Linked DNA regions of Diceros bicornis minor. The protein of the gene in region 1 interacts with the protein of each later gene in a pairwise test. Links are inferred from orthologs where the notes say so. Each region holds a gene or a part of one and is shown in the gene's direction. Other genes may lie near its edges. The genes, in order: ZBTB8A, ZNF276, ARMCX1 and KIF9.

Evidence for each region.
Region 2: the proteins of ZBTB8A (region 1) and ZNF276 interact in binary tests that used the Homo sapiens proteins (3 or more experiments, as listed by UniProt). The two-hybrid records come from large-scale screens. The link is inferred for Diceros bicornis minor from reciprocal best matches to the Homo sapiens genes ZBTB8A and ZNF276.
Region 3: the proteins of ZBTB8A (region 1) and ARMCX1 interact in binary tests that used the Homo sapiens proteins (3 or more experiments, as listed by UniProt). The two-hybrid records come from large-scale screens. The link is inferred for Diceros bicornis minor from reciprocal best matches to the Homo sapiens genes ZBTB8A and ARMCX1.
Region 4: the proteins of ZBTB8A (region 1) and KIF9 interact in binary tests that used the Homo sapiens proteins (3 or more experiments, as listed by UniProt). The two-hybrid records come from large-scale screens. The link is inferred for Diceros bicornis minor from reciprocal best matches to the Homo sapiens genes ZBTB8A and KIF9.

Annotation. Positions count from the first base shown.
Region 1 is NC_080752.1:47,225,734-47,233,342, forward strand, and holds the start of ZBTB8A (zinc finger and BTB domain-containing protein 8A), read left to right. Parts: upstream 1-4,609; 5' UTR 4,610-4,936; intron 4,937-7,609. UniProt on the Homo sapiens protein: May be involved in transcriptional regulation.
Region 2 is NC_080771.1:38,054,449-38,061,682, forward strand, and holds the start of ZNF276 (zinc finger protein 276), read left to right. Parts: upstream 1-4,229; 5' UTR 4,230-4,584; coding exon 4,585-4,810; intron 4,811-7,234. Other genes in the region: VPS9D1 (VPS9 domain-containing protein 1), read right to left, coding at 193-355, 460-552, 2,080-2,155, 3,444-3,542. UniProt on the Homo sapiens protein: May be involved in transcriptional regulation.
Region 3 is NC_080781.1:94,604,163-94,612,066, forward strand, and holds the start of ARMCX1 (armadillo repeat-containing X-linked protein 1), read left to right. Parts: upstream 1-4,901; 5' UTR 4,902-5,015; intron 5,016-7,061; 5' UTR 7,062-7,169; intron 7,170-7,904. Other genes in the region: ARMCX4 (armadillo repeat-containing X-linked protein 4), read left to right, coding at 1-1,834. UniProt on the Homo sapiens protein: Regulates mitochondrial transport during axon regeneration. Increases the proportion of motile mitochondria by recruiting stationary mitochondria into the motile pool. Enhances mitochondria movement and neurite growth in both adult axons and embryonic neurons.
Region 4 is NC_080741.1:48,642,226-48,649,565, reverse strand, and holds the start of KIF9 (kinesin-like protein KIF9), read left to right. Parts: upstream 1-4,334; 5' UTR 4,335-4,586; intron 4,587-4,675; exon of another isoform or gene 4,676-6,218; 5' UTR 6,219-6,247; coding exon 6,248-6,275; intron 6,276-7,340. Other genes in the region: KLHL18 (kelch-like protein 18), read right to left, coding at 3,986-4,114. UniProt on the Homo sapiens protein: Essential for normal male fertility and for progressive motility of spermatozoa.

The DNA of each region.
Region 1 (7,609 bases):
CTTTAGAGGACTTTTTATCTAACTGAACAGCACTCTGAGGTACCACCTTAGATCTTTTTTAGGTCTTAACAAAGGATTTTACAGCCACTCTCCTGATTTCATCTTTAGATTTTGTTTTCCTGGCATTGTCCTGGATTTAATCTTTGCTCAGAAACTATTTCTTAATTTTAGCATTATTTGCCACCTAGAGAGGCTGGGGATTTTCAAAACCAGCAATTTCTGGCTTCCTTTTGCTTAACAGTCCTTCCTTTAGCTTATCTCTCTTCTTACATCTTTTACTACATGTGGCAAGAAGAGACCAGGTGACCCCTTCAACCCTCTGCTTGGAAATCTCCTTAGTTAGATCACCCAATTCATTAGGTACATTTTCTACTTTTCACCTTACTGCAGGCAATAGTGTTGCTACATTTCTGCCAATACGTAACAAAGACCCCCTTTCCTCCAGCGCCCAATAAGATTTTCATGATTTTCCTTTAAGCCCTCACTTTCAGCTTCCTCAAAGGCCATCAGGACTCGACTCTTTTTTGAAAGGCTCAAACTTTCACTAACACTCATCTCAAAGTCCTTCCAGCTTCCACCCACTGCCCAGTTGCAGTTATATTTTTAGGTTTTTGTTATGGTAGCACTTTTAGGGACCACAATCTGTAATAGTTATCTATTGCTGCATAACAAATTACCCCCCACAGATTAATGGCTTAAAACAACAAACATTGATTACTTCAGAAGGTTTCTAAGGGCCAGGAATCTGGGAGCAGCTTAGCTGGTTCTGGCTCAGGGTCTCTCATGAGGTTTCAGTCAAGCTGTTAGCTGGGGCTGCAGTCAGCTGAAGGCTGGTCTGGGGCTGGAGGATATATTCCAAGATAGCTCACTCATATGGCTGTTGGCAGAAAGCCTCAATTCATCTCCGCATGGCTGCCTGCGTATCCTCAGGCAGCTGGCTTCTCCTAGAGCAACTGATCCAAGATAAAGAACAAGCAGGAAACTGCTTTGACTTTTATCACCAACACTCTGAAATCACATGCTATCATTTCTGCTTTATTCTATTCTTTAGAAGCAAGTCAGTCAGTCCCGGCTCACACTCGTGAGGAGGTGAATTAGGATCTATCTCTTGAAGGGAGGAGTGTCAAAGAATATGTAGGCATTTTAAAACCATCACACCTATCCATGCTCTTCTCTTTGCCCTCCAGTTTCAATAAGGATAGTGGAGTTATCACTTTTCCTACCCAGGGGCTGTTCCTCTATTGAGATTTTGATCTCCTTCTCCCTGAATTTGCAGAAATTCAGCCACTATTAATTATTACTCCGATATACTCAATATCTCTCTCTCATCTTCCTGTTTTCCATCAGCAGTTAAACATTTTTAAAGTCTTTTACCCATATCCCCTTCTAGCTAATACCCTCTCTATTTGCCTGGAGTAGTTTTAAAACATGGCCTTAAATTCTCTTACATTCTTCCCATTAAGAGACAGCATATATGTCCCCTTCTGCTTGAATCTTGGTAGGCTTGTGACTACTTTAACCAATGGAATATGGTAAGTGAGGCAATACAACTTCTGTAGAAGGGTATGAAAGATCATGCAGCTCCCTCCTAGTTCTCTTGGAATACCCCCTCTTTATATGCTCTCTCGGGACACTCACTCTCAGAATCCAGCCACCACGCTGCAAGAAGCCCAAGCTGCATGGAGAGGCCATGTGTATGTGCTCCAGATAACAGTGACAGCCGAGCCCAGCTTTCAAGTGATCTCAGCCTTGGCACCAGACCTATGAGCGAAGAAATAGTTTCCAGTTCCCAGCAGTTCAAGCTATCTTCAGCCATTTAAGACTTCCCAGCTGAGACTCCAGACATCGTGGAATAGAGACAAGCCATCCTTGCTGTACCTTGCCAAATTCTTGACCCATGGAATCCATGAGCATAATACAATAGTTTTTGTTTTATGCCACTAAGTTTGGGTTGGTTTGTTACACAGCAATAGTAACTGGAACATCCCCTTTACAACCAACTCTCTCAAAGGAGTCGTCTACTCTCATCATCTCTATTTCTTCATCCTCCACTTATTCCTCTTATATAGGTTTTGCTCCTTTCTTTCAAGCTTAATAATGTTCTCTGAAGTCAATGATCTCCAAGTTGTTAAATCTAATAGACATTTTCTCTTAGTGCTAAGAGAAGTAGTTAACACTATTGTCTAATTCTTCCTTCTTGAATTACTCTCTTCTAGTTTCCATAACACCACATTATTCCAAGTCTCTTCCTTCCTCTCTAGCCACTTCTCAGTCTTATTTGCAATTTCACCTTCCTGTAACCAGCCACTAGATGATGAAGTTCCTCAAGCTTGGTTCTAAGCCTTCTCTTCTTACTTTATAGTGTGCGAGATCAAGATTTGGCCACCCTGAAATCTATCTCTTTACCTTGATTGTTTTCTCTGAGGGACATTTGACCTCCCCCACTAACTGCCTAAAGAATTTGACATGGTGGCTCCTTCCTGGGACAGATCTTCTATCATGATGGCTGTAATGATAATGTAAAATAGATGTTACAATGGGAGGGGCACCAAGCCCCTTTTATCAAAAAACTCTCTCTCTCCCTGACCACATTATCTATAGATGACCCTGAAAAGAATTGTCTTCTTGCCCTCTGAAGTCCCAGACCACTACCCACCCGCAACACCTTCCTCGCCTTTAGCTACAATACTTAAGCAAGCAGCTTAGACAGAGGGACGAGTTGCTCATTTCTGAGTTTCTCCTATGTATACATGTTATTAAACTTGGTATTATTTTCTCCTGCTAACCTGTCTTGTTAATTATTTGGCCAGCCATAAGAACCTTAAGGGAAGGGGCAGAGGGGGATTCTCCCTCTTCCTCCAACAATAGTCTTTCTCTCTATCCATATCCATGGTTTTAATTCCCAGCTACAGGACATTGACGACAACATTTTATCTCAACCAATTTCATCTATTAAGCTCCAGTTCATATGTCCAGATAACTTCTTAACATTTTGTACTAGTCAGGGTTCTTAGTTGCACAGAGACTGGCCTTGGCTGATTTAAGCAGAAACGAATGTATTAAAAGTTCACAGAATCACAGGAAGAGCAGAGCACAGGGGCTGGAGCCTATGCTAAGTGGACAGAGAGAACAGCCCAAGTCATAGCACAGAACTTCCCGGTGATGATACCAACACTGCTCTCAGCAAACAGAGACATGGCAGCTGGCACCATTGACAGCATTAGCACTGGACAGTGGATGCTGCCACCAGCAGCACTGCCACTAGGGCACCTGGAGATATTATCTTGCTGCAACCGTCACCACCGCCAGAAAAGACTCTGAGGTTTCCGCTTTTTGGTGTCAGAGCTCCCTCTTCAAAATCACTGGTGGATAGATCTGATTGTCAAAATATAGACCATGGCCATTGTCCTAGTTGCAAGAGATTCTGGGAAATCAAGTCACTAGCATTTCCAGATTCTATTGCAGAAACCTCCCATCAATTAATCATAAGGAATTCTCCAAATATATATATGAGTTTCAGAAGCTAGGAGGGGGAAAGCGAGGAAAAAACTCCCATTACTTCTTCCTTGCAACAAAGAGTTTATCACCAATCTGATGTGCTCTCTTGAGGAACAAGTTTGTAGAACTCTTTTGCATGTTTTTCATTAACTAAGGCTAAAATAAAACCTTTCGCTATAACAATGCCCAGATCTTTCTGAGAGAATTCTCAATGGGGATGCTAGCAGAGCAGCTTGAGTACATCAACACTCCTGACACCTAGTGGTTTTCAAACATTTCCACTTACCTGTTCAGAATGTGAGGAAATGCAACTAAATAGCAACACACCTCAAGAGTAATACTGAAGTGACATTAAGAGATAGTTGTGAATATTTTGTATCCTTCTCATAGACAGTATGATCCTCAAAATGCATAGCTAATTATTGATGAACCAAAGTAATAAACTTTGTACATGACTGATTATTACATAGGAGAGGAATCCATCAAAAAACTAAATGTCTTGACATTTTGAGTCTTTTTTTCAGTTTTACTATATCTCAGTACTTTTCAGTACCTGACCCCAGCATAAGAAACTAGGAAACAAATTTAGTTTATAGAATTAATGTTTTTGTAGTAACAGTGAAAGTTCAGTGATTTAAGATTCTAGCAAATATATAACCTGTTTGTACTCTAAATATTAAGGACATAAATATGTCAGAAGAAAGGCTTGATGTACAATGAATTTCGGTATTTGAAAACACAAAACCTGCTATTTTTACTGGTTTTATGTTTTCTCTGAACTTAACCAAGATTTATTTTCTCTTATCTCAGCCTCTCTGGATTTTCCTCTTCAGATAAACTGCTTGTGGCCTGTAGAGGTTTAAAAAAGGTTATCCCCGACTAAAATAACTGCCGCAATAAAGGGAAAAATTCTGTGGAAATCTCTTACATTTGACGTTGCAAAACTTAAGTACAATAATGTCACATGTACTTATACAGTAATTGTGGGCACGCCTAAGTCCCTCCCTCTTTCCTAAACCAAATTCCCCAGATCCTAGAAATCCAGCCCTTCTGCCCTCCGGAGGCGCCTTTCCCAACGTAAAGCACAATTTTAAATTTCAGCTCCTGACTAAATAATGATTCCGTAGTCAACTGCCGGGGAATCTGGGCACCCCAGTGCCTCCGGAGGGTGCAGCGGGGCGTAGGCAAGGGCAGGGGGAGTGGGCGAAGCTGCTGGTTGGTGCCTGAAATCTGTGCGTTGCCCCTTTAATTGTGTCCCCAGCCCTCGGGCGTTTCTGTCCAACGCCCACGTCAGCAAATACCTTTTGTTTCTCTCACGTTGGGGCTACTTGTTTTAGGGCGTAAAGGAACGGCTTCGAGAGGGGGTATTTCCCCTGCCGGGAACCGGGAGTCTTCCCCCAGCCCGCGCGCGCGACCCGCCGGTGCGCCGCGGCCCGCGGTAAGTGGCTGCGCGCGGCGCGGGCGGAGGGCGGGCGGGGCGTCGGGGCTGCCGGGCCGGCCGCGAGCTTCGCTGCGGGCGGAGGCGCCGCGGGCTCTGACCGCCCGGGCGGCGTTGGCGGCGGGATGCGGCCCGGGCGCGGCGCCCCCAGACGTCCCGGGGCGGGAGAGCGGCGGGAGGCGCAGAGGCGAGCGGGCGCCATTTGCAGCCCGGGGCGCAGCGGCGGCGGCGGCGCGCCGGCTCCGAGGGGCTGGAGACGGTCACAAAGGAGGCGCGGGCGCCGGCGGCGGAGGACGCGGCCTCGGGGCGGCGGCCCGGGCGGCCCGCGGGGAGAGGCGGGCGGCGCCGGGGCGCACCGGCTCCGGGACTCCGCGGCCGCCCCTCCCCGCGCCCGGGAGGGGCTGCGGGACAATGGCTCGCCGTCGCCGCCCGGCCGGCCGCGGCGCGGGGAAAGGCGGGAAGGCGCGCGGAGTCTCCCGGCGGCGGCGGCGGCGGGAAGGCGGCGCGGGGACGGTGCCGGGCGTGTCTGCAGCCGTCGGGCGCCGCGGACTCCCGGCGGGTCGGCGGCCGGCGGGGCTCGGGCTGCGCGGCGAGTGACGGGCGGGCCGCCCAATGGGGCGTCGGGGGCCGGGCGGGCGGGGGGCCCGGGGCTTCTCCCCCGCCGTCCCGGGCGCTTCCTCGGGAGGGTGGTTCCCGGGGCGGTAGTCCGAGTGTCTCGGTACATCCTCCATCCTTTGGTTTTTTATCATGATGCGACAGATCCGGGCTTAGAACCGAAGGCAGACTTGTCTGCACCTAACAAATATCGAGCTGTAATTATTTTATGACGGAAGCACACATACGCACCTTCTACCCGTGTAGACTGGCTCTTCTGTAAGTTAGCGGTTTGGCCCCTTCCCCTTCAAATGCGCTTATTGATCGTTGATTGTGCCAGTAGCTAGACTGCACATCTTTCAAAGACGTGTTTTCTTTTGATTTTTTTTTTTTAAACTGAGATGTAATTGACATATAACATTGGTCTAACGTTTAGGCCAAGACGTATTTGGGAGCGCTAGATTCCCACCTAGTGGGCTTTTAACGACACACGTCAGTATTACTTCTATTCTTAATAAACGTTTATATTTGCAGAACTTTATTTAGTAAATGGAGTGCTTTCACCTCTACGAATTGTTTCACATAAAACAACCACCCAGTCGGGCCGATAGTCATTCCACTTTTCAGATGAGGAAACGCGGTAAGCGCGGAGTTTAAGCGTTAAGCCAGGAGGCGAACCATGGCAGCCTCCCAACCGCCTTCGCTTCCTGTTCTTGCTCTTCATTCCCTCCTAAAGGCACCTCCAGAGTCTTATGGAAAGCAAGTCGGTCACGTCGCTCCCCTGCTCTAAAAACCTTAACTGGTTTTTATCAGAAAGAAAGTCCAAAATCCTCAGAAGAACCAAGGCCCATACTTCCTCTCTAGTCTAATTTCACCCAAGCCTCAGGTATGGATGGGTTTCTGGGAGCCCGGGAGCAAGCGCCCTTCACTGGTAACCAGGGGTCTCATGTCGTTATTCTTGGGGACCTTTCTGGCCACACAGGCAGTAAAGGGGAAGTGAGAATTTAACCAAATGGGTGCGTGTGGGTTCGGGTATAAGATGTCCGTAGGAGGCATCATGAGTACCTGGACTCCTAGGTCAGATAAATTTCCAGCGCCATGAAAGAGGGCACCTTGCCAGACCTTATCTCATGGCCTTGAAATTACCAGCTCTGCTGGTAAAGATTTGGGCCCAGCAATAACTGTGTAAAATAGAGTAATACTTAATTCATCCTCTATCATTTAAATCGTATTTTCTAGCTAAAACAAAATTTCCATCTAATAGGCTTAACCCTTTCAGTGACATAATTACATGTTTATAATATTTAAAGGATTTGATGTAAGTTGTTTGATTCCCCTTGAGAGAAGTTTTTGTCACTTCTTAGCTCAAAATTGGTCAGTGGCTCCCCATCTTACTCAGATGAAAAGCCAGAGGCCCCCACATAGTCTACAAGGCCCTGCAGGAACTGGTCCCATGATATCCTACCCACCTCACAATCTGCCCTTCCTCTCTGACTCCATCTCTCATTGCTCTCCCCAGCCCTCCTTGCCTGCTCCACCTCAGAGCCTTTGCACTTGCTGTTCCATCTGCCTGGAACACTCTTCCCCCAGATAGCCACATGACTCTCTCTCTCTCCTTTGGACTTGACTTAAATGCCATCTTCTCAGTAAGACTTTCCCAGCTATGGTTTTGATTCTCTTAAACGTTTTATACTTAATTCTAAATCTTTTCCAGTGTTAAAAGATGTTTATCCACCAAAGAATACAATTACCATGCAGTTAGCTGAAGTTCCTTCTGACCCGGGGGTTTTTGCCAAGGAGGCTGATGAGATTTGTTTGGGTGACCCTGATGGGACACACTAAATTCTAGATAAATGACTATATATCTTAAAAGAGGTAGTCTTCTAGCCCACAACCTTAATTCAAGTTACACTCGTTACCTAAATCTTCAGTCTACTCATAGAAATTCTTGTCTTTTCCTTCTATTCCAAAGATCTTTGAACTTAATGGTTTATAAAATACATAATTGTTTTTTCCATCCACCTTTTTAAAGGTCTTTGAAGTTGATGGAGATCTTGATTTCTTTAATATTCTTGGGAC
Region 2 (7,234 bases), on another chromosome or scaffold:
TGGTTATCTCTGTTTGCCATTCATTTTATGAAAGTTGAAGCTGCTCTGCTCCAAAGACAATTTGCATTCATTTCTGCCAGCACAAGGGTGTTTCCACTCTGGGACCCCTTTCAACTAAATTCACATGGTTAGCTCACTTTGTCTTGCCTTCAAACCCTGGCTCAGCCCACCTTCTATTTTGCCCCATCTTACTTCTTAGAGCTTTGCGACTCTACCACCTGAAGCTTCTGGAAGATCTCAGGCGGCAGAAATGGAGAGAGCTTCCCCCCCTCATCTGAGTACACCCGGCGATGTCGGGTGGTAGGTGAGGGGACAGGAGCAGCCACAGGCATGGCTGGCTTCAGGCGTGTTTTCCCTGCAAGACATATGTAGCCAAGGGTCATCATGGGATCCCCACATTCCATAGAGGAGATGCAGACTTGAGGGGTGCTCCAGGAAAACCTTTTGCTGCAGACCCACCAAGCTTGGCAGCTGTTGAGTGGGCCCTCTCCAGGCACTGCTCAGCCAGTTTCAGCATCTTCGAGGTGTCCAGGGACACAGTTTCCCCAGCTTCTGGGGAGCAAGGGATAAGAAGGCTGGTCACCATCACCTCTCATCACTAATCAGATTCTTGCTGAGATGACAACAGAGGCAAGCCCATCTCCTCCTCACCTCTGACCCCTGGGTGACCCCACTCCCTCCTAGTCTCTGACCATCTGCCCCGGGTTTACTTCCTGACCCTGTGTGGACTCCGAGTTCGGCCAGCCCAGCATCTGACTGATTGTCCTGTCTTCTCAGCTGGACCTTTGGAGCCGTCTCTCTACCTAACCAGGCCTTTTCTCCTCACTGAGGGCTTCATTTACACCTAGAGCCTCTCCTCAAGACACAGGCCATTTCACAGAGACGGCTTCATCACCCATCTCCCGCCCTCTGGCTGTGCTCAACCCCACCCCTGGCGCCTCCCTGTAGCTTCTGTTCTGCATTCCCTCCTCTGGGGACTGCTCCTACCAGCAGACATGCTGTAGGAGCTGGCACCCAAAACTCTCCTCTGGACCCTGCCAGCCCCCGCTCCTGACCCACCTCCTGCTCCCTGTACAGCTGGCCCCTCCCCACACCCTGTTTTAGCCCCTGACTCCCACTGAAACTGCCCTCACTCACCCAGCCACGTTTTGCCCTGCTCTGAGGGCTCCCCCACCTCTCAGGTCCTCTCTCCTCCAGGACATCCCTCTCAAGGACACTCCCACTGCGCCCCCCCTCCCAGTCCTCAATCTCGGAGTGGCCAGAGCCCTGCTAAGTCACTGGCTCCCTAGGGCAGCTCCATTCTGGTGACTCCCGCCTCTCCCTGACTGCTGTGCTTCTGTGTTCAGTGGGCTGCTGGACACCTCAAGCAGAATGTGCTCAGGATGCAGCTCTCCATTCCTCCCCCACAAGTCTGCTCCTGCCACCCCTGTGCACCCTGCCCCGTGCCTCACCATTCCCCCAGCAGCTCATTGTCCCCCCCAGTGGCTCGACCCCCTGCCCTGCCTGCAAGCATGGTGAGGTCTACCTTTAAAGAATATCCCCAAGTCCTTCATTCCTCCCACCTCTAGGTGGTCCCACCACTGCTGACCTCACTGTGGGCGCCTCCTGGAGGGTCTGCTTCCATGCTGGTCTCCCCTCACAAGCCTCCACGAGATTCCCCTCACACCAGAACGACCCCAGTTCCACCCAAGGCCCTGCCTGCCCCAACTGCACCCTCCTCTTTCCAGCCTGCCTTCCTGGTACCCAGCACCCACTCTCATCTCAGGGCCTTTGCACATCTCTCTGCTGGGAATGCTACCCCCGTACTCTTCCTGGGCTGGGGTTCAATGTCCAGTCTCTGGTCATGCCTCCACCACCTTCCCATCCCCTTCCCCACAGCACCCATCCCTTCCCCACAGCACCCATCCCTTCCCACTCCCGCGTCACAGTGCGACAGCTCGTGCTTATTGAGTGCACACCCGTTCACCTTCCGCTAATGACCAAGTGGGTAGGACACAGGACACCCCCAGGGACCCACCACCGGCTAAGTTGTCCACCGTTTGCCCAGTGCGGAAGGAGCAGCGAGGCTGAGAACTGTACCTTTGGTGGTTTCCACTTCTTCCAGCAGTACCTGGGCGATGTAGTGGATGCTCCTTAGGTATTCTGTATATGCTTCCTGTGCCCAGGGGAGAGAAGGCATGGGTTGGGCCAGTGGAGGCAAACTATTCCATTACGTCCGCCTGGTGCCCTTGTGGGAAACACAGGAACAGTGGTTCCTGTGAGATACACTTGAGACAGCGAGCCTGAAGTTGTTAGCTGGTAATTCCTCCCGGTCTAATCAGTGATGTTCTGCCTGGGGCACAGATCAGATCCCTCTTCTCCAGACTTGAAAAAAAAGAGACCTGGCTGGGCATCCATCCCTCCTCTCACTGCCTTTCTCTCCAGCACAGGAAGGAATGAAGACTCTCATTCAGTGGGCCAGGGGAAGTGGCCTTGGCAGTTGCTGTCACTTTTCACTCTATGCAACAAGTTTCCTTCTTGTACAACTCAGAAGCCGTTCATTCAGTGGCTTTAAAAAAATATTTCCTGGGAGGTTACTAAAGGGACTGATGTTGCAAATCTTAGAATCACTTTCTGGCTTAGGTTCTGGGAAATCCCTTTCCTGAACCCCAGCATAGTACTCCCTGGGCATGTAGGAGTCTGGAACACTAGACTATCACCAGTTTCAAGGGTGGATCATTCTGTTCAGGGCTCCCTGACAGAGCTCAGGGCATTTGGAACAGCATCGTGTTTTGTTTTTTGTTTGTTTTGTTGCATCCCAGTTCTCAAATTACCAGTCTTTAAGTCTACACCTCAGAGATAAGGATAAAATGGATTCCGCGAAGGATTTCTGACTTGGCACCTGCTGCTCTAGAAAACCAACTTGGGGAAGGCAGCGGATAGCGGCGCCGGCCGCCTCTCCTGGGCACAGGCAGTCTCCCCCTCCCTGGACAGCCCAGCGTGGCTCAGCCGGCTTCTCCACCTGGAAACACCCCTTCTCGAAACAAGCCGCAGCTCTCCCCGCCGCCCTCCCTTCCAAGCACACTCGGACGACGCCTGGAAGCCGGGTTAACCTTTTCCGGACCGCCTCCCCTTTGGGGATCTGATGAAATCTACCGTGTCTGCCCAGAAAATACACATACACATGGACCTGTCCGCCAAATACGTTCTGGAGGGCCGCTTCACAGACCCTCTGAATCCCAGTACAAACAAAACCGCGGCCACGGGACTGCCCACTCGTTAAACGGATGGAGGACGCAGAGCGAGAGGACGGGAGCTGTCCAAGGTCACCGGCGGATGGGAGCCCGGTGCCCCGCCCGCCGCCCGAGGGTCCCGCCCGAGGGTCCCGCCGGCGCCCACCCCGTGGCCCCGCCCCGCCCCCGGGTCTGCGCCGCGGCCACCGCCCCCGCCTCGCCTCGCCTCACCCGGGGCCGGTTGCTAGTGTCCAGCTCGATGGCCCCGTTGGCCAGCTTCATGGCGCACTGCAGCGGTTTCACCGCGCCGTCCCCGGCCGCAGCGGCCATGGTTTGTCGGGCGGGGGGGCGGCGGCTGAGGGGCGGGGCGGGCGGCCCGGAGCCCGGAACGTACCCTGAGCGGGCGCGGGCGCCGCCCGAGCAGCGGACCGCGGGAAAAGGCAGGACCGGCGCGGGCACACTTCCGGCGGCCCCGCCCCTGCCGCCCCGAGTGCTCAGTTCCCGGGGCCGAAGGGGAGGAGATGGGGATGGCGAAGCTCTCAAGTAACCTGCTCACGCAGTTGCCACGAGCGTGCGAGTGCAACAACCGGCGCCCTCACTCCACGCCTGTGACACGCCAATCTCACGGGCCCCACCCCTCAGCGCTCGCCCCGCCCCTTGCTTTCCTAACACCGCCACGCCCCTCTTCACGCCCCCTCCGCGTGCCCTCCCTTCCTCGTCGCCCCGCCCCTCTCCTCGCCCCGCCCCTCGCCCTCCTGACAGCGCCCTGTCCCTCACCACTCGCCCCGTCCCTTGCTCTCCTCACACTGCCCCGCCTCTTAGCACTTTAACCCGCCGCCCCGCCCCTTGTCTCACCTTCCTCGCCCCGCCCCTTGCCCTCCTCATGCCGCCTCGCCCCTCACCGCTCGCCCCGCCCCTTGCTCTCACGCCGTCCCGCCCCCTCTCCTCTCCCCGCTCTTGCTCTCCTCACTCTGTCCCGCCCCTCTCCCTTCACCCTCATCACTCGCTCCGCCCCCCTCCAGTCAAGCGGACCCGAACAGCGGAGCTGAGCGGAAACGAGCGAGCACAGTCCACCTGAGCGGAGGAGAGACTCCGGCACCAGCAGGACCTAGCTGGGCCAAGCGGCCGGCCCCTGCAAGCCGAGCGAGGCTGAATGGGACCGAGCAGAGCCGAGTTGAACTGAGCGGGGCCGAGCCGAGCGGGGCCGAGCGGAGCCGAGCCAGGTCGAGTGGGGCCGAGCAGTGGCGGGCCTAGCCGAGCAGAGCCGAGCCGGGCCGAGCGGGACCGAGCTAAGCCGAGCGTGGCCGAGCTGAACCGACCCAGGCCGAACCTGGCGGAGCGCCGGGGCCGGGCTGTAGCCGCGGTAGCCGCCATGAAGCGCGACCGGCTCGGCCGCTTCCTGTCGCCTGGGGCGGCGGGGCAGCGCGGGGGCTCGGGCAGCGGCGGTGGCGGCGGCGGCGGCGGCGGCCGGGCTCGGGGCCGCCCCGCTCGCAGCGGACCGAGCGTGGATGAGACGGCGGCCTTGGTGGCGGCGCGGCTGGGCTGGGGCCGGGCTCGGGCCTGCGGGGATGCGGGCGAGGACGGCGCCGACGAGGCAGGTGGGTCCAGGGGCTGAGGGGCGGGGGGACAGGGTGCGGCCGGGGCCGCCGGTGACCACCGGTGACCACCGCGGCCCCCAGTTCCCCAAGTGACCACCACTCCCCCAGTGACCACCACCTCCACCGGTGACCACCGCGTCCCCAGTGACCACCACGTCCTCCAAGTGAGCACCAGTGACCACCACGTCCCCCGGTGACCACCGTGTCCCCAGTGACCACCAGTTCCCTCAGTTCCCCCAGTGACCACCACGTCCCCCAGTGACCACCGGTGACCACCAGTTCCCCAGTGACCACGTCCCCAGGGCCTCTTCTCGCCCTCGGCGCCGTCGGGCTCCTGGAAGCAGACCAGGCCTCCCGCGGACAGCGGGGGAGGGCGGCCTCTCCGTGGCGTCGGCGGCAGCCTGCGCCGCGGTGTTTCGCAGGACAGCTGACGCTGTCGAGCCCACTCCGAGCTCCTTAAGTGATTAGTGCTCAAGTTCTGCGCTCGGACAGGCCTGGGTTTCAGTCCTGGTTTTGCCCTGTGCTCTGTAGCCTTGAGATAACTGCCTAAGCTCTCGGGGCCTCCCGTCCTCGCCATTACGAGAACTCGGTGGGTGCAATGGAAGGTGCCCGGTCCCAGCCTGGCGGGGCGTGCAGAGCGTTTGCCCCCGGAGAACGGCTGCCTCCCGGGCAGAGAGGGGTGGCGCCATCTGCACTTGCAGTCAGGAGGCCCAGGGAGGCAGAGCGCGGACACGGCGTCGCTGTGGCCTCCGGAGGATGCTGTGAGGAGGAATGGCGTTTCCACAGCTGTGAAGACGTTTGTTGATTCACTTAAAAAAAGTCTTTTAGATCTATGTCTTTTGAAAAAAAGTTTTTATAGAGATATAATTGACATATAACGTTATATTAGTTTTAAGTGTACAACATTTTGATTGGATATCTGTATGTATTGTGAAACGGTCACCACATAAGCCTAGTTAACACCCATCACCACACACAGATTATTTTTTCTTGTGATGAGAACTTTTAAGATCTACTCTCTTAGCAACTTCAGATATACAATACAGTGTTATTAACTGTAGTCACCATGTTGTACATGACATCCTTAAGACTGACTTATTTTATAACTGGAAGTTTGTGCCTTTTGACCACTTTCACCCATTTCACCCACTCCCCTGCCTCTGGTAACCACCAGTCTAGTCTGTTCTCTGTATCCATGAGTTCAATTTTTTTTTTTAGATTCCACATATAAGTGAGAACATACGGTATTCATCTCTTTGCCTGACTTATTTCACTTAATGCCATTAAGGTCCATCCATGTTGTTGCAAAAGGCAAGATTTCCTTCTTTTTTATGACTGAATAGTATTCCACTGTGTATGTGTATATATATATATACATATATACAGACACATATGTATACACATACACTACGTTTTGTTTATCCATTCATCCATCAGTGGACACTGGGGTTGTTTCCGCATCTTGGCTATTGTAAATAATGCTGCAGTGAATGTGGGAGTACAGATATCTTTTTGACATAGTGTTTTCATTTCCTTCGGATATATTCCCAAAGATGGAACTGCTGGACCATAGGGTAGTTCTTTTTTTTTTTTTTCCACTAACCTCCATACTGTTTTCCGTAGTGGCTGCACTATGGAATTTTACATTCCCACCAACAGTGCACAAGGGTTCCCTTCTCTCCACATCCTCACCAACACTTGTATCTCCTGTCTTCTTTTTTTTTTTTTAAACAGTTTTATTTATTTATTTATTATTTTTTTTTTTTGTGAGGAAGATCAGCCCTGAGCTAACATCCATGCTAATCCTCCTCTTTTTGCTGAGGAAGACCGGCCCTGAGCTAACATCTATTGCCAGTCCTCCTCCTTTTTTATTTTTCCCTAAAGCCCCAGTAGGTAGTTGTATGTCTTAGTTGCACATCCTTCTAGTTGCTGTATGTGGGACGCGGCCTCAGCATGGCCGGAGAAGCGGTGCGTCAGTGCGCGCCCGGGATCTGAACCCGGGCCGCCAATAGCGGAGCGCACGCACTTAACCGCTAAGCCACGGGGCCGGCCCCTCTCCTGTCTTCTTGATAATAGTCATTCTGACAGGAGTGAGGTGATATCTCATTGTGGTTTTGATTTGCATTTCCCTGATAATTAGTGAGGTTGAGCATCTTTTCACGTAGCTGTTGGCCACCTATATGTCTTCTTTGAAAAAATGTTCAGATCTTCTGCTCCTTTTTTAATTGGATTGTGTTTTTGCTATTGAGTTGTAAGACTTCTTTATATGTTTTGGGTATTAACCCCTTATCAGATATATGGTTTGCAAGTATTTTCTCCCATTCGGCAGGTTGCCTTTTCATTTTGTTGATGGTTTCCTTTGCTATGCAGAACCTTTATAGTTTGATGTAGTCCCATTTGTTTATTTTTGCTTTTGTTCCCTTT
Region 3 (7,904 bases), on another chromosome or scaffold:
TGGCTCTGGGAGTCAGGCCAGTGGAAGGTCCTGGGTTGGGGCTGGAGGTCAGGCTCGTAGTTGTTCCAAACCTGGATTTGAGGATCAGGCTAGGGGAGGAGGCTCCCAGGCTGGTGCTAGGGATCAGACTGGTGGAAAATCCTGGGCTGGGTCTAGGCCTGGAAATGAGGCCAGTAGAGGGTCTAGGCTGAGGCCTGAGGACCAGGCCAGTGGAAGGTCCCAGGTCAGTGCCAGGACAGAGGCCTATGAAGAATCCTGGTTTGGGGCTGAAGGTGAGGCTACTACAGGGTCCTGGTTCTGGAGAGGGGAAGAAGTTGGTTTTGTATCCAGGCCTGGAGGTAAAAACGAGGCCAGTAGTGAGTCTACATCAGGGGCTGGGGAGGAGTCCATCATTAGTTCCAGATTTGGGGCTGAGGACAAGACCAATATTGAGTCTTGGATCAGATCTGAAGAGATGGCCTGTATGGATTCCCGTGCGGGGGCTGAGGCTGGGGCTGGGGCAGGGGCTGAGGCCGGGAAGGAGTCTTGGCTCTGGGATGGAAATGCAACCACTACAGGATCTAGGCTTGGGGCTGGGGAAAAGCCTGGCATGCGGTCCTGGACTTTGGCTGAGGATGTAGATGAGGATGAGCTAAGTAGAGCATCCAGCCCTGATATTGAGGAGATCAGTTTAAGGTCTTTGTTTTGGGCTGAGAGTGAGAACAGTAATGAGTCCAGATCCAAGAGTGAGAAAGATGTCAATTCTGAGTGTAAGGCCAGCACCAAGGATAAACTTGAGGCTGCTGGTGGAGTCGATGTAAGGTCTTGGTTCTGGGCTGGTAATGAAAACAGAAGTGAGGACAAATCTACACCTAAGACTAAAGCCAAAAAGTCAGCTGAGTCAAGAGGCACATATCCGTCCATGGTCCCTGGGGCAGGAATGGGGTCATGGGCAGGAGCCATGATCTGGACAGAAATGAAATTCCCATACCAAAATGACTCCTGCTTCCCACCTGAAGAGGAACTCAGAAAGCAGATCAGGTCTGGGGAGAAAACTCAGCCCTGGGCCTGCCGCTGTAAACGTGAAGCTAATATGGATCCACGAGAACTTGAAAAACTCATTTGCATGATTGAGATGACTGAAGATCCTTCTATTCATGAAATAGCCAATAATGCTCTATATAACAGTCCTGATTATCCATTTTCCCATGAAGTCATTCGTAATGCAGGTAAAATCTCAATTATTGAAAGCTTGCTCAATAATCCCTACCCCAGTGTTAGGCAGAAGGCTTTAAATGCACTGAATAACATCTCAGTGGCTGCTGAAAATCATAGGAAGGTTAAAACGTACTTAAATCAAGTATGTGAAGACACCATCACTTATCCCTTGAATTCAAATGTGCAGCTGGCTGGACTAAGATTGATAAAGCACCTGACTATTATTAGTGAGTATCAGCATATGGTGACAAATTATATTTCAGAATTTCTTCGTTTGTTAACTGTGGGAGGTGGAGAAACTAAAGACCATATTTTGGGAATGCTTTTGAATTTCTCTAAAAATCCATCTATGACAAAAGACTTACTCATTGCTAATGCACCAACATCACTGATTAATATCTTTAGCAAGAAAGAGACAAAAGAGAATATTCTTAATGCTCTTTCACTATTTGAAAATATAAATTATCATTTCAAAAGAAGAGCAAAAGTATTTACCCAGGACAAGTTCAGCAAAAATTCCCTTTATTTCGTATTCCAACGACCTAAAGCATGTGCCAAGAAACTTCGAGTCTTAGCAGCAGAATACAATGACCCTGAGGTGAAAGAAAGAGTTGAACTGTTATTAAGTAAACTCTGATTAGTTTTATGTTTCCAAACAAAGCTGAGTAATATTTTGGTTTTGCAGACTGGAAATAATGCACATTGTAAATTGCATTATAACTTCAAAACTGATGTTACTTATGATGGTCTATAGTTGGACCACTTTATGAACACCAAATGAATTCAAACTTGTACTGAAAATACATGTGTTGATTTTACCTTGTCTGGATTGAGATATTTTTAGTATGCTTCATGAGCAGAAACTGAACTGATTCTTCATAAGTAAGGTAATCTTTGGTCCTTTGTGTGGACTTATGTTTATATATTTGAGACTTTATTTTTATGTCATCAATAAAGTTGTGTGTTTTAAGCAGAAAAAAAGAGACATGTCTTTGTCCTTGAGTGTATGATCTATTTGGAAAGACAAGATGTATGGAAAAAAAAGATATTAACAAAACCGGGAGCCTCTGATCATGGCCAGCTGCTTCCTATTAGTGCTTACAGGTGGCAGAAACTTCTGCAGGCAACAGTGCTCAGGGAAAGTTTTACAGAGGAGGGGACACTTAAGTAAGCTAGGCTTGAAGGATTGGATAATAATGGGGCAAAAGGGCATTGGAGGAGGGAGGAGTGGCGGGAAGAAAGGCATGGAGGTGGGAATCCTGCTCCAGAGAGGAGGCTGGGCTGCCTGGAGCGCAACGTGTGGGGAGGGGAGTGATGGGAAATACGGTCTGGCAGTTGGGGTGAGTCCCATTCGTGGAGGATCCCTGACTGCTAAACCGAGATGCCTGCGTATCACTCCATCCACCCCTGGGAGACACCAAAGCCTTTCGTGACCAGAGGAGTGACAGGATGAAAGTAAAACGGTGTGGCTGATTTCTGTGCAGGATGGGTTGGAGTTGGGGGTGGGGACAGGAGTGGCCACTGGAGATTGGAACACCACTTAGGAAGTTACCACCATCGTCCAGGCGTGAGATGATAAAGGCGTGAAATTTCACTGCTGGCCGTGGGAATGGTAAGGGGAGGAAGGAAGTGAGAGACCCTCTGAAGGAAGAAGTTCTGGAACCTATTCTGGGGGCATACAGAGAGGGACAGTTTTCTTTTAGGGGCCTGGGGCCATTTGACAGGAAAACGTCCTCTTTCTTGGCCAACTCTTGGTGTCTATGTAAGTGAATACGTTAGTTATTATTTTGAAATCAGAAAATATACTAGAAGAAAGAATAATTTTTAGTGCTTCTATCAGATTACTTTTATAAGGTTGGTTGGGGCAGGATCTTTATGGAACCATCACGAGGGCTGTTGGTATCCATACTGGAGAAGATCCACAACTCTCCCACCCCAGAGGGTGGTGAGGGTGTGTGGGGAGGGGCACTCTCAGACTGTGCTGGTGGGAGCCTACACTAGGACGAGGTCAATTTGGATACATGTTTCAGAAGCCTTCAAGATGTGTGTGCTCTTTGACTCAATAATTCCACTTGTAGAAATTCATCCTTAGGAAATAATCCAATAATTGGCTTATACAAGGCTGTGCATCTTTTCACTGTTTTGAAGATTGAAAAATCATCAATGACCCAAGTGTCTTAAAATAGGCATTTGGCTAAGCAAATTAGTGTATGTCTGCACATTGAAACATTATGCAGCTCTTGAAATGTTGATGGGCATCTACACGTATTTACTTGGAAAAAATTCAGCATATAATCTTAAGCGAGGAAAATAGGCTGCCAAAGCACATGCCATACTTTTTACGAAGAAAAAGTATATATTTAAATTATCTCTATGTATAAACTTTGGTGTATACTCTGAGAATGTTAGTTGTTTCCTATGGGTGTTAGATTAATGGTGATCGTATCTGTTTTTTACTCCTCTGTATTTTCTGATTTTTATATAATAAACCAGGATTTTTTTGCATAATTTATCAAAAGGAATCGGATGGATTCAGGCTAAGCAGACTTTTCAATAGCATATCAGAGGACTAGAGAAAAAGTATAAATGGAGGCTCACATATTTATGTGTAAATATTTGGAAGGTATAAAAAATATTATAAATAAATATTATTTAAAAAAAGCTGTAAATGTAAGTGCAAATGTTTGGAAATTTAAACTTTAGTAACTGTGTTAAAAGTAAAACTGTTCTCAATTCTAGCATTTGATGGCCACCAACTTTCTAGTGGAAAAAATGATGTCAAACTTGTGGATTCTGCAATCTGCTGCCCTAATCTTCCTTCGGGAATAGAGGGCTTATTATTTCAGTTACTAGGAGTGCTCTTCCAAGGTCATACCCCCTTCCTGGGGTACTTCCCATCCAATGACTGATCAACATGGCCTTCTTGCCCCAAATGAGACAGCTTAACTTTTCCCTCCGTCCAATTCTGCTTCCTTCTTTTCCCTTCCACAGGTGTTGATCCCAAGAGCATTCCCTAATAAAAGCCCTTCATGCTGAACTCTGTGTCTGAGTCTGCTCTCCAGGAAGGCAAGCTACAACAGTTGGTATGAGAAGTGGTTCAGGAAAGCATACACTGTGATGAAATTTTGGAGGTGGATCATCTGCTGCCCAGCTGGCAATGAGGACCCCATCATTGGTGGTAGGTGGAGTAGATAGGCACCTAGAACAGGTGGCAGAGGAATTGTTAGAGCTTTCACTGGTGGTGAACTGGGATAGCACTGGTGAAGGGAATGCATTAACTGGTGCCAGGTAACAGCTTTGAGAAATATGTGGGAAATATTAAATATAAAGAAGGCCATAGGGCCGGCCCCGTGGCTTAGCGGTTAAGTGCTCGCGCTCCGCTGCTGGCGGCCCGGGTTCGGACCCCGGGCGGGCACCTACGCACCGCTTGTCAGGACATGCTGAGGCCGCATCCCACATACAGCAACTAGAAGAATGTGCAACTATGACATACAACTATCTACTGGGGCTTTGGGGGGAAAAATAAATAAATAAAGTTTAAAAAAAAAATAAAGAAGGCCATAAAATTGGGTGGCTATTGCTAAGCTTGATTAATCTGTAGAAAAAAATAATGAAAAGCTGAATTAAGTTAATCAACAATTAAAAGCTATATGTGAAAGCCTGAGGGCTTTATTTATAGCATATAATGAGGTCCTCATCTTTTCCAGGTAGAGGGTACAGAAATCTGAGGACCAGGCTCAAGACTTATTGAAAGCAAGCTTCAAAAAAGTTAAAATCCCAACCAAGTCAAATCTGCTGTGTCAAGATCAGGGTCCTAGGTAGGAAGGAATGGGGACCCTCACATATGGTATGGGGACATCTGGATTGATATCCCTAAAAATCTTGTATCCTGAGATTTCCCTGAACTGCTTGAGCATTCAGAAGTGTCCCACTCCTTCCTTTTAAGGGCTAGAACTTCATTTTGCTTGAACATGCAGAGCCTTTGTAAGATAACGTGTGTTTCCCTCAGAATCTGCCTCAACCTCCCATCCTGGCTGCTGGGCCTATATCTAGGGTTAAGTCACAGTGTAACCTCATTGGGGTTGTGCTGGGCCTCATAAGGAAGGAAAGGGAATACCCCAAGAAGGAGCTGTGGGACCTAGCCAGCGTGTACTAGCAGGTGCTGAGGGAGTAAGCATGGGACTGAATTCTGAGGGCCTTGATCAGGGGAGCTGGAATATAAAATTGAATAAAGGAGAATTAATTGATTTGAGAATTCTCTCCCAAGATAGAGGATTGAACACCCTGGGAAAGACCCCAGGAGACCATGTGAACTCACTACTAGAATGGCTCCTCAAAGTATGGAAAAAACAATGGCCCATATTAAGTGAGGTATGAATGCCAGAGTTTCCATAGCAGATGATGGGAGAAGGGATTAAAGGCTCAGGGAAGTGGGAATGATAGAATAAATGTATGTAAGGCCAGAAAACCCTCCTGAGGACTATGTTCTGCAGGTAGACCCAAAGGGTACGCCATTTGCCAAAGCTGTAAAGAATGCACCTGTGAGAGGGGCACCAGCATCACTTAGAAGTTCAGTGGTGGCTCGCCTCTGCAGGCCAGGGCTCAGAGTAGGAGAGGATGTTACAGGATGAGGGTAACTGATAGAAATGGCGATGGCTCTGAAACAATAGAGGCAGGATGACTGTACTCAACTGTCAGATGTTAGGTAGATGCAAATACCATAATGTACCACAGGGTCAGAGTGGCAGGCAGAGAGGCCTGACCTGCAGAGAGCTGTGGAGCTGGTTAATATAACACAGTGCCCCTGCCGAATAGATGGTTAAGAGGTAGTTAATAGAATGCAGGTGGTTAATATAACAGTGCCTTGGGGAAAATAGGCAGCCAACAATCTATACAATCAAAAGAAATCAAAGATGATCAAGAGTCTGAGAGAAGTTGCCTCAATAAAAAGTCACAATCCCTTGGCCAGCTTCTGGTCCTAAGTCATTTTTTGATCTAGAACTCACTGTTTGAAGGAGAGGCTGGGTTCCCAGAAAGAAGGACCCTATAACATATATGTAGTAATGATTCCTCCAGTTTTTCCATTTACTCAGGTAACTGTGCACTGGGAAAAGAGGAATACCCAAACATTTTGAGGACTGATGGTCACTGGTTCTGAGTTGATATTGATACTCAGAGACCTAAAGTGTCATCATAGTCCCCCTGTTAGAATAGGGTCAGATGGGAGCCTGGTATTAAATGGGCTCCTGGCCTAGTTCACAGTGGTTCTACTGGGTCCACAGACTCACCTGGTAGTTATTTTCTTGGTCTAGGAATGTATAATTGGAATAGATATTTTGATAGTTGGTACAAGCCCCATGTTGTTTTCTTGGCCTGTGGAGTCAGAGCTATTTGTAGATGAGAAGGCCAAGTGAAAGTTTCTGAAACTGCCCTCTACTTCCTCGGCCAAGATAGTAAATGAAAACGTACAGCATCCTGGGGAGGACGGCAGAAGTTAGTACCACCTTTAAAGACCTAAAGAATGCCGGGGTGTGGTCTCACCATCATATCTTTATTTAATGCACCAGTTTGGGCTTCTGCAAAACGTGGACAGAGCCTGGTATATGACAGTAGACTACTGCAAACTCGACCAAGTGGTGACACAAGTGCAGCTGCCATGTCAAATATGCTGTCTTTGCTAGAGCAGAATGACATGGCCTTAGGTACCTAGTAATTAGCTATTGACTTGGAAAATGTGTTTTTTCCTATCCCTCTCAGAGTGGAACATCAGAAAAAGTTCACATTCGCATAGAATGGGCTACAGTATACATTTATAGTTTTTCCTCAAGGCCCTACTAACTCTCCTGTCCTCTGTCATAATATAGTCTGAAGAGATCTGGACTATCTGAATATAATACTAGTCCACTATGTTGATGACATCATGCTAATTGAACCAAAAGGAGTAAGAAGTGGATAGCACATTGGAGGCCTTGGTAAGACACATGTACACCAGAGGATTGGAGATAAACCCTATAAAGATCAAGGGGCTGGCTACATTAAATGCAGTTTTTATGGATTGAATGGTTTGGGGCATGCCAGGAGATTCCCTCTGAAGTAAAGGACAAATTATTGCATTTTTCACCTTCCCCACGAAGATGGAATCCCAACGTGTGGTAGGCTTCATTGCGTTCTGGAAGCAGCAGATTTCATACCTGGAATTATTGTTTCGACCCATGTACTGGGTGACACAAAAAGCTGCCAGCTTTGAGTGGGCCCTAGAGCAAGAGAAGACTCTATAGCAGGTCCAGGCTGCAGTTTCAAGCAGTCCTGCCACTTGGCCCATATGATAGATAGACCCTAATGTATTAGAGGTATCTGTGTTGGCAAAAGTTGCCATATGGAGTTTTTGGTAAGCCCTAATGGGAAAGTCACAGCTTAGTCAAGAACTTAGGTTCTGGAGCAAAGCCATACCACATGCAATGGAGAATTATGTACCTTTTGAAGACAGTTTCTGGTATGCTACTATGTCCTGGTATAGATGGAATGCCTGGCCATAGGACATCATGTGACCATGCAAGTGACTATGCAGCCAGAACTGCCCATCATGAGCTGAGTTGTGTCAGATCCACCAAGGTGTAAGAGTGGGCAGGCCCAGCAACAAGATGGAAGTTTTATACACAGGATCAAGCACAAGCAGAACTGGAGGACACAAGCACCTGCACAATCAG
Region 4 (7,340 bases), on another chromosome or scaffold:
ATAAATAAAAAAGATCCAAAGATGGGCTTAAGGGGAATTGCTCTCAAGACTGAATGCAAAATTTTGCACATATGTAAGTAGGTGCATTTTTCTGGGGGGAAGATTCATCGCTTTCAGTTTTTCAGAGTTTCAAGTCACCACAGATACAGAATGTGATTAAAAAAAATCCAATATATTACCGTTTTCTGTTATGCCTCTACTTAACTATCCAACAGGAACCCAAAGAATTTAAATTTCAAATATTTCCAAAAAGAAAGTTAAGCAAGGTTCAAGAGTTGGCAGTGAATTTTGAGAATGTGGCATGCCTGCTAAAGCTGACTTTCATACTCTCCCTAAAACTCGCGAAGGTAGAAAAGATGACATGTTGTTAAGGATGAATACAAATGACCTAAGGTAGATTAATTCACATAGTAGCAGCTGAAATCAGTTCAGTCACTGTCAGTGACAGTAGGAGCAACAGGAGCGCATGAAAGAACATTTGAGAGCCAGCCTTGATGGCATAGCGGTTAAAGTTCCACGCTCTCCGCCTCAGCGGTCCGGGTTCATTTCCTGGTCACGGAACCACACCACTGGTCTGTCAGTTGCCATGCTGTGGCGGCAGCTCACATAGAAGAACTAGAAGGACTTACAACTAGCATATACAACCATGCACTGGGGCTTTGGGGAGGGGAAAAGAAAAAGAGAGAACACTTGACCTGGACTACGGAGACCAGGAGTCTAGCCTCTCGTCCTAGTTCTGCCTAACTCAATCTGTGACCTTGGACAAGTCCCTTCTCCTTCTGGGCTTGGGTTCTCATCTGTAAAACTGCAAGCTACTGAGAGAGAGCAGTGGTCTGCAAACTCTTTTAAGGCAATGAACATTATGTTTAGATAAAATCATCCAGAATTCATCAGAAGCTAAAGCAAATTCAAAATGGCAGGTTGAACATATGTGTTTATCTCCACTCCCTCTGGAAACCCCATTAAGTTATTATTCATAAATATCTACTACTTATTGAGCATTTACTACATAACTGTTTTAAGTGTATTAACTAATGGCATCCTTAACACTCCTACTAGGTAGGAGATGATCCCCATTTTATAGATGAAGGAACTGAATCACCAGTATTTAAGGAACTTGCTCAAGTTTTCACAGCTAATAAGTGGCAGAGCCAGAATTCAAACCCAGGCAGTCGGGCTATACTACCTCTCAGACTGACAATCAAGGAACAGCAAAGCTTCCAAGGAAAAAGAAGCTGAAAGAGAGAGCAGATTAGAAAGGGTACCCAATTTTGGAAGATGAAAAGCAGACAAATGAAAAGTCACTGACTTAGATGGAGAATACTGAGTGCTGCAGATGGCAAGCCACTGCAGAACCCCCTCCAAAACTCAACTGTTGGAGACACAGGTTTCCTCTGAAGACGTGCATAAGGAAGGTTGAAAACAGGCAGTACTGGTGCCCTTCCCCAGCAACTGCTCTGTCACCACCCCAGCAGAAGACTGGAGGTTTATTCTCTGGACAGGATGAACTAAAGACTCCAGACCTGGGTAACCAGGGCACCACTGAAGACAAGGAAGTGGCACCATTCAGGGGGATTAAGTCAAAGTCTGCATACAGAAGCAAGAGACTCCAGTCCCCTCCCACCATAAGGCTCCTAGAGTGATAACAGTCAGGCTTATTCCACCTAGGCAGAAGCCTGAAGGAAGATCCATGGACTCCGAACATATCCCATTGAAAAAGACAAGTCTATCATCCTGTGGCTCTAGGAATGTGGCCTCAGGCCAGGAGTAGCATCACTGGAGAACTTGTCAGAAATATAAATTCTCAGGCTCATGCCAGACCTACTGAACAAGAAATTCTGGGGTGAGGCCCAAGAACCAGTGTTTGAACAAGGCCACCAGGTGATTCTGATGCCCACTGAAGTTTGAGAACCACCGCCCTACAGGGAGGCCCACTAGTCAATAAACCCATCCTACACCAAAAAGCTTCCAATGAGATTTTCAGTGCCTATCTATTTGGAAGACAGTCTGGAATCACCAGAAGTTTCAGGAAAGACTCTATCCTGAAAGAGACAGACCAAAACAGATTTCATACAGCAGCTCTAATGAAGGGGAGTGAAATGAGGCAGAGCCCGGTTTGCTTGGCTTCTCTCTGGCCCCACCATCACACTGCTACCGAGGGGCTCCTCAGGCTCTACAGGAGAGTTAGAAAACCAAGGAAGCAGATGCTGTCTATGGTCCTGTCCAGCTCTAGCCTGTGGCTTTATACTGGTCCTTATGGCCCAGACCCTTGAAACTAATACAGCAATTTAGACTGACACTCTCGGTTGGAACTACCTCTGATAATTTACTTGTCCCTTTGAATGAACAAAAAACATTTTAATGGAAAAATCATCCAAGCATTTTTATGCTGAAGAGTTGCTATATTCCATATCCGCATTAAATGCAGAGGCAAAATGCACTGCTTTAATTTATGTAGAAGTATCTGTGACCATCCCACTCTATCATGTCCTTTTTGCTTCTCTGTGTCTTACAAGCTTTCCCTGGCTCACCCTACAGCCTAAATCTTAATCCAAAAACTCTCCCCTATTACTGCTTTTCACCAGTCTCTACTCACACCAAGTGTTACCGCCACAACCAGATGATTCTTCTGCTTACAAATCTCTAGTAGCCTCAACATCTTCTGTCACATAATCACCATGGACAAAAATCTCTCATTTGTATTTACTTCCTCTACCTCCTTTAGTCCAGCTCATTTTTCTCAAACCCCATGGTTTCCTTCTAAAGATCCTTTCCCCTCTCAGGCCACTTCACTCCTCTCTTGGAAAACTAATCTCCTGTGGGAGGGGTTTAAACTGTGGAAATACTTATGCCAGGCATTATGCAAAGAATACCATAAATTTTCACATTTAATCCTTACACTAATAGTGAGAATTAGGAATCATCCCCATTTTTACATTAGGAAAACTGATGCTTAGAGAGATTAATTAACTTGCCCAAGGTTACAACTAGGATTTTAATCCAAATCCTTCTATCTCCAAAGCCACACTCCTAACCATTCTACTCTACTGTCTCCAGGGGTCTGACTCAAATATGTGGAAGCAGAAGTTTCCTTAACCCTGTAGAAAATAAGAAGAGCAAAATGATCTCTGCATAGTTTTGTTTTTAAACAGGGTCTTCCACAGATGCTGAGAGCCTTCCAGTCAAAGCCCACCAGAGAACAAGGCTTGCAGCAGCATTTCCCCACCTGGAGGGCTCCACGTGGCTCAGCAGCTGGGCCAAGGAGCAGCACAGCACATGCCTCTCCAGTAGGCATGGATGCAAAGCACAGGAGGAAGGCTGGCTCTTGCGCCCAGAATGCCAGTGGGGAACAGGTGGTTAAGATCCCTCTCCCTACGCAGCCCATCAGTCCATTCTCTGAGACCTCTGTGGTAGTGGTGTGTCTTCCAGTGTGGGGCAGAGTAGCCGCCCACCTCAAAAGACTTCCAGATCTGATTTTAAAAGCTCTTAAGAGACAAATAGTAATCTAACAATCAAGGGCAAGCAAGGACTCCTAAAGAGAAGCCTGCGCCTCTACAACAGCACAGCTAACTTTGAGAGACAAAAAACTATGTCTACGGTGTCGCAGAAGGTGCTTCAGCGGTGCCCATCAGAAAGTTGAGACTGACACCGCCCCTTCCTCCATAGAGGGGCTGCAAGTCCATTTTCTCTTTCTGTGTGACAGAAAAGGGAGGCGGGCACCCCAATGTCTCGCACTCCGAGGGCCTCAACGGCGCACATCTCAGCCTTTCCTTCTAAGGGCTGAGAGGCTGTCCCTGTCCGTCTCCCCACTCAGCCCCAATCCCCCTCTCCCATTCGGCAGCTCTCTCTCCCGTACTCGGTCTCCCTCCAACCTCCTTTCCCCACCCCTCTGCCCGCTAGACCTCTCTTCCTCTATTCCCCCGTCCCTCTTTCCTCCTCACTAGGTCCCTTTTCCCTCGTCCCCGCGCCGCCCGGCCCTCGGTACCTTGAGCGTCACGTCGCACAGCTTGCCCTGCCGCCGGATCTCCTCCATGACGCCGTAGCCGCGACTCGGCAACTCGGACACGGAGAAGTGCACCAGATCCTCCAGCTCCTCCGCGCCGTCCTCCACCATCTTCCCCGGCCGCCGCGACTGCGCAGGCCTGGCCTGCCGGCCCGAAACTAAGCAGGGCGGGGCGCGGGGGCGCGCCGACTGCAGCTCGGACCGCAGGGCTGGAACCAGCTGGGCCTGCGCGGCCGCCGTAGTCACCGACGGCTCTGCGCCGGAAGCGCTGCTGCCCCGCTTCCTTGTTCATGTGCAGCCTTCCTACCGCTGCTTTCCCCGACCTGGCTTCGCGCCTGCAGCTGCCGCAGTCTTCCTAGATTAATCAGTCCCATCTCCCGTCTTCCCAATTCTGCCCTGATCTTACTCGTGTCTCAACAGAGGACTGCGGACTTCATTTCCGCCACCATCCGGATACTTCCGGAATCTCCGCAAGCGGCCCGTTGCCATGGCGACTGTGTACACAGCCGGGCAGCGGTGCGTGCCAGGTTTCGGTCGCTGCTGTCAGCCGTTGCGCTGCCGGAGGGCCGCTACTTCGGGAGCGGTGAGCAGGGGCCACGAGCAGCCGGGATGGAGAGAAGGGAGGCCGGAGAGGGGGTGTACACCTGAGGGGCGGTCAGCGGCTGGATTCCGAACACCGCTCCACAGGGGAGTTCCTTAGCTTGTTTCGATGATCTGTGAAACCTGAGCAGAGGAGGGCGTGGCATCGCCGGGGCCCTTTCAGCCTGGCTGCGGCATAGGGTCTTCGGATCTAACGTTCCGTGGCCCCACAACGGTCCTATTTCGCGCCTGAGGTTCAGAGGGCGCAAGGCAGAGGACCAGAGATCTTCTGGACTTTTGTGTACTAGTTGGTTTTCGAACTGGAGGGGTCTTCGGGATCGCCATTCCGAGCCCTTCGCTTTACAGACGAGGAAACCGCTCCAGAGAGAGACAGGAATGGTCCCAGGTTCCGCTGCCTCCCACACTCCGCACAGGGGTCCAGCATGTTGGGTGAAAAAGGAGATAAGGCCAGTTCTGCTTGGATCCGAGTCTTTTGTTTAGCTCAAGGCTGGGTGCGTTTGGCCTCTGTGTTTTGGGGTTTAGATGCTCCTGCCGCTTTGGTGGTTATGAGGGTTCTCCATGAGATCCCCTGGTCTGGGCAGGAGCGCTGGAAAGTAGGGACCCGCCTGGTGCCTATGGCCCAGGAGACGCTCCCTCTCCTTTTACCGAGCCTTAAGGGGTCCTTGGTGGCAATTCTATTCATTCTCACCCCTAAAACCATGGTGATATCGCGAGCCTCTCAGCAGGGAGGTCTCCTGGTGGCCACACTCAGAGGTTCACTTATTTATGCCAGAAATATCGAAGAGTGGTGCCCATGAGAAAGGGGCATTCCCTACAAGGTCCTGAGGGAGAAGGACCCCACTAAAAGGGAGGGCGTGGTGAGAGGCTGAACATGGCTTCTTGCAAGTGGTGCCTGGAAACCAAGTGTCCTCCTGGAAGGGCTGTGGGCTTAGGAGTTGGAGGTGGTGTGGGAGGGGAGTGACATCATATGCCCCTTGGAACTATCTCAGTAGTGACGGAAGATGGACCCACATATGGAGATTCAGCCACCCTCTGACTTCCAGCTGTGACCATCACCACCAACCACCATTTCTTGAGCATCTTGCTCTGTGCTAGGCACTGCTCTGGACGTTGAGGGGGGATTCAAAAGAGATAAAAGGCACAGTCCTATCCCTCAAGCAGCTTGTAATTTAATTTGGGAACTGAAGCCCACTCAAATGATGCGGCGTAAGAACGGTAACAAGCATTATTTCAGTAAGTGCAAGATGGCATGGGGTCTCCAAATGTGTGGGTCTTGAGGGGCTGCTAAGCAGCAGATTCACAGGAGGGATGTAGTTAATAGAGAAGGCTTGCTTCAGTTGGATATTACTTTTGGCATGCCTGGAGCCATGGGTGTGAGCACGGGGAGGGCCTTGGGAAGCACAAATAGGGTGACTGCATGTGCATGTTGGCAAATTGCAGGGCAGAGAAGGGGCTGGCTCTGAGGGGAGGGTGATGCTTGGAGCTGGCCTCCTGTGCTGTCAGTGAGTGGGGGCTGCCGGGAGGGAGGCCTGGGCACCTGCCCCCAGACCTGGCCTGCTTCTTTATGATCCTTTTCAAAGGGCACCTTGGGCAGCATCTTACCTTCCCTGGACAGGAGGATGGGCCCTCGAACTGGTCTGGGAAATGGTTCCTAGAGCTTTAGAGATTGAGGGTAAGTATTTGCTTGAGTCAAAACACACCTCCCTCCACTCACCTTCCCAATAGCCTAGAACAAAGTGAACTTGGAGATGAGATGTTCTCTTCAATTTCCTCAATTTGGGATTCGTGTTAGAGCTCTTTGTGGCTTTTTATTTCTAGAGCTCAATTTTGTAGAGAAAAATTTTAGAACTGAAATTGGACAAGCCATTATCCTTGCTTACTTGAATACCTTTCAGATTCATTTTCTAAAAGTTAAAAGGTCTGAATGATCCCATAGTGGCTTGGAAAAGACTTCCATGAAATAATTACTGGAGGAATGTAGGAAGTGGACACACACTCTCCAATAGGCAAATATGAAGGTAACATATTTGCTTATTTGATTTGACATCTGAAGTGCTTGTAACAGGGGTTAGAGTTTTACTCTGTCCACAGCATTGAAACTGTAAACTGAAAGAGGGGGGCCTGTCTCTTTTTAACTTGCTTCTATAGAGATACTTAATGCCACTTGATGATAGTTACTATAATTGTAAGAGGAAATCAAGTGGTCCCCACAAGTTGTGTCTAGAAATGTGGAGGGTCAATGATAATTTCAAAATCTGGAATCATTTTTATCGGGTAACACTCATTGAACTTCTCTTAGAGAATATGTGTCAAATTTTAATATTCTTTATTTAATGTGCATTTTTAAAAAGTGAAATAATTAACTGTAATTAAAAGAAGAAATCCCTGTCATGCATGACTTTTTCTTTACAGTAAAGGTCTTGAAAATTAGCTTTTTAAAAATATTAAATATCATATCAGTTTATTTCTTAGAGTGCTTTGCAGTAGCACAAGCAAGCTGTTTTTTCCTTAATAACTGTGTCGATATTGCTATTTCCCAATTTGAAGATGAAATTGAGTCAGCTCCCTATGGCCCGTGTTTCTCTAACTCATTGTAAATTCAGCAAACTCCTTTGCTGGTTGTCTTTTTCAAAAGTGTCCAGGAGTTTTCTTTAGCCTCAACTCCTCTCTCCTGCCCCATGAATGTACAGGTTATTTTAGGGGCAAATGCCTCGTTTCTTATTGAACTGGTCCGACC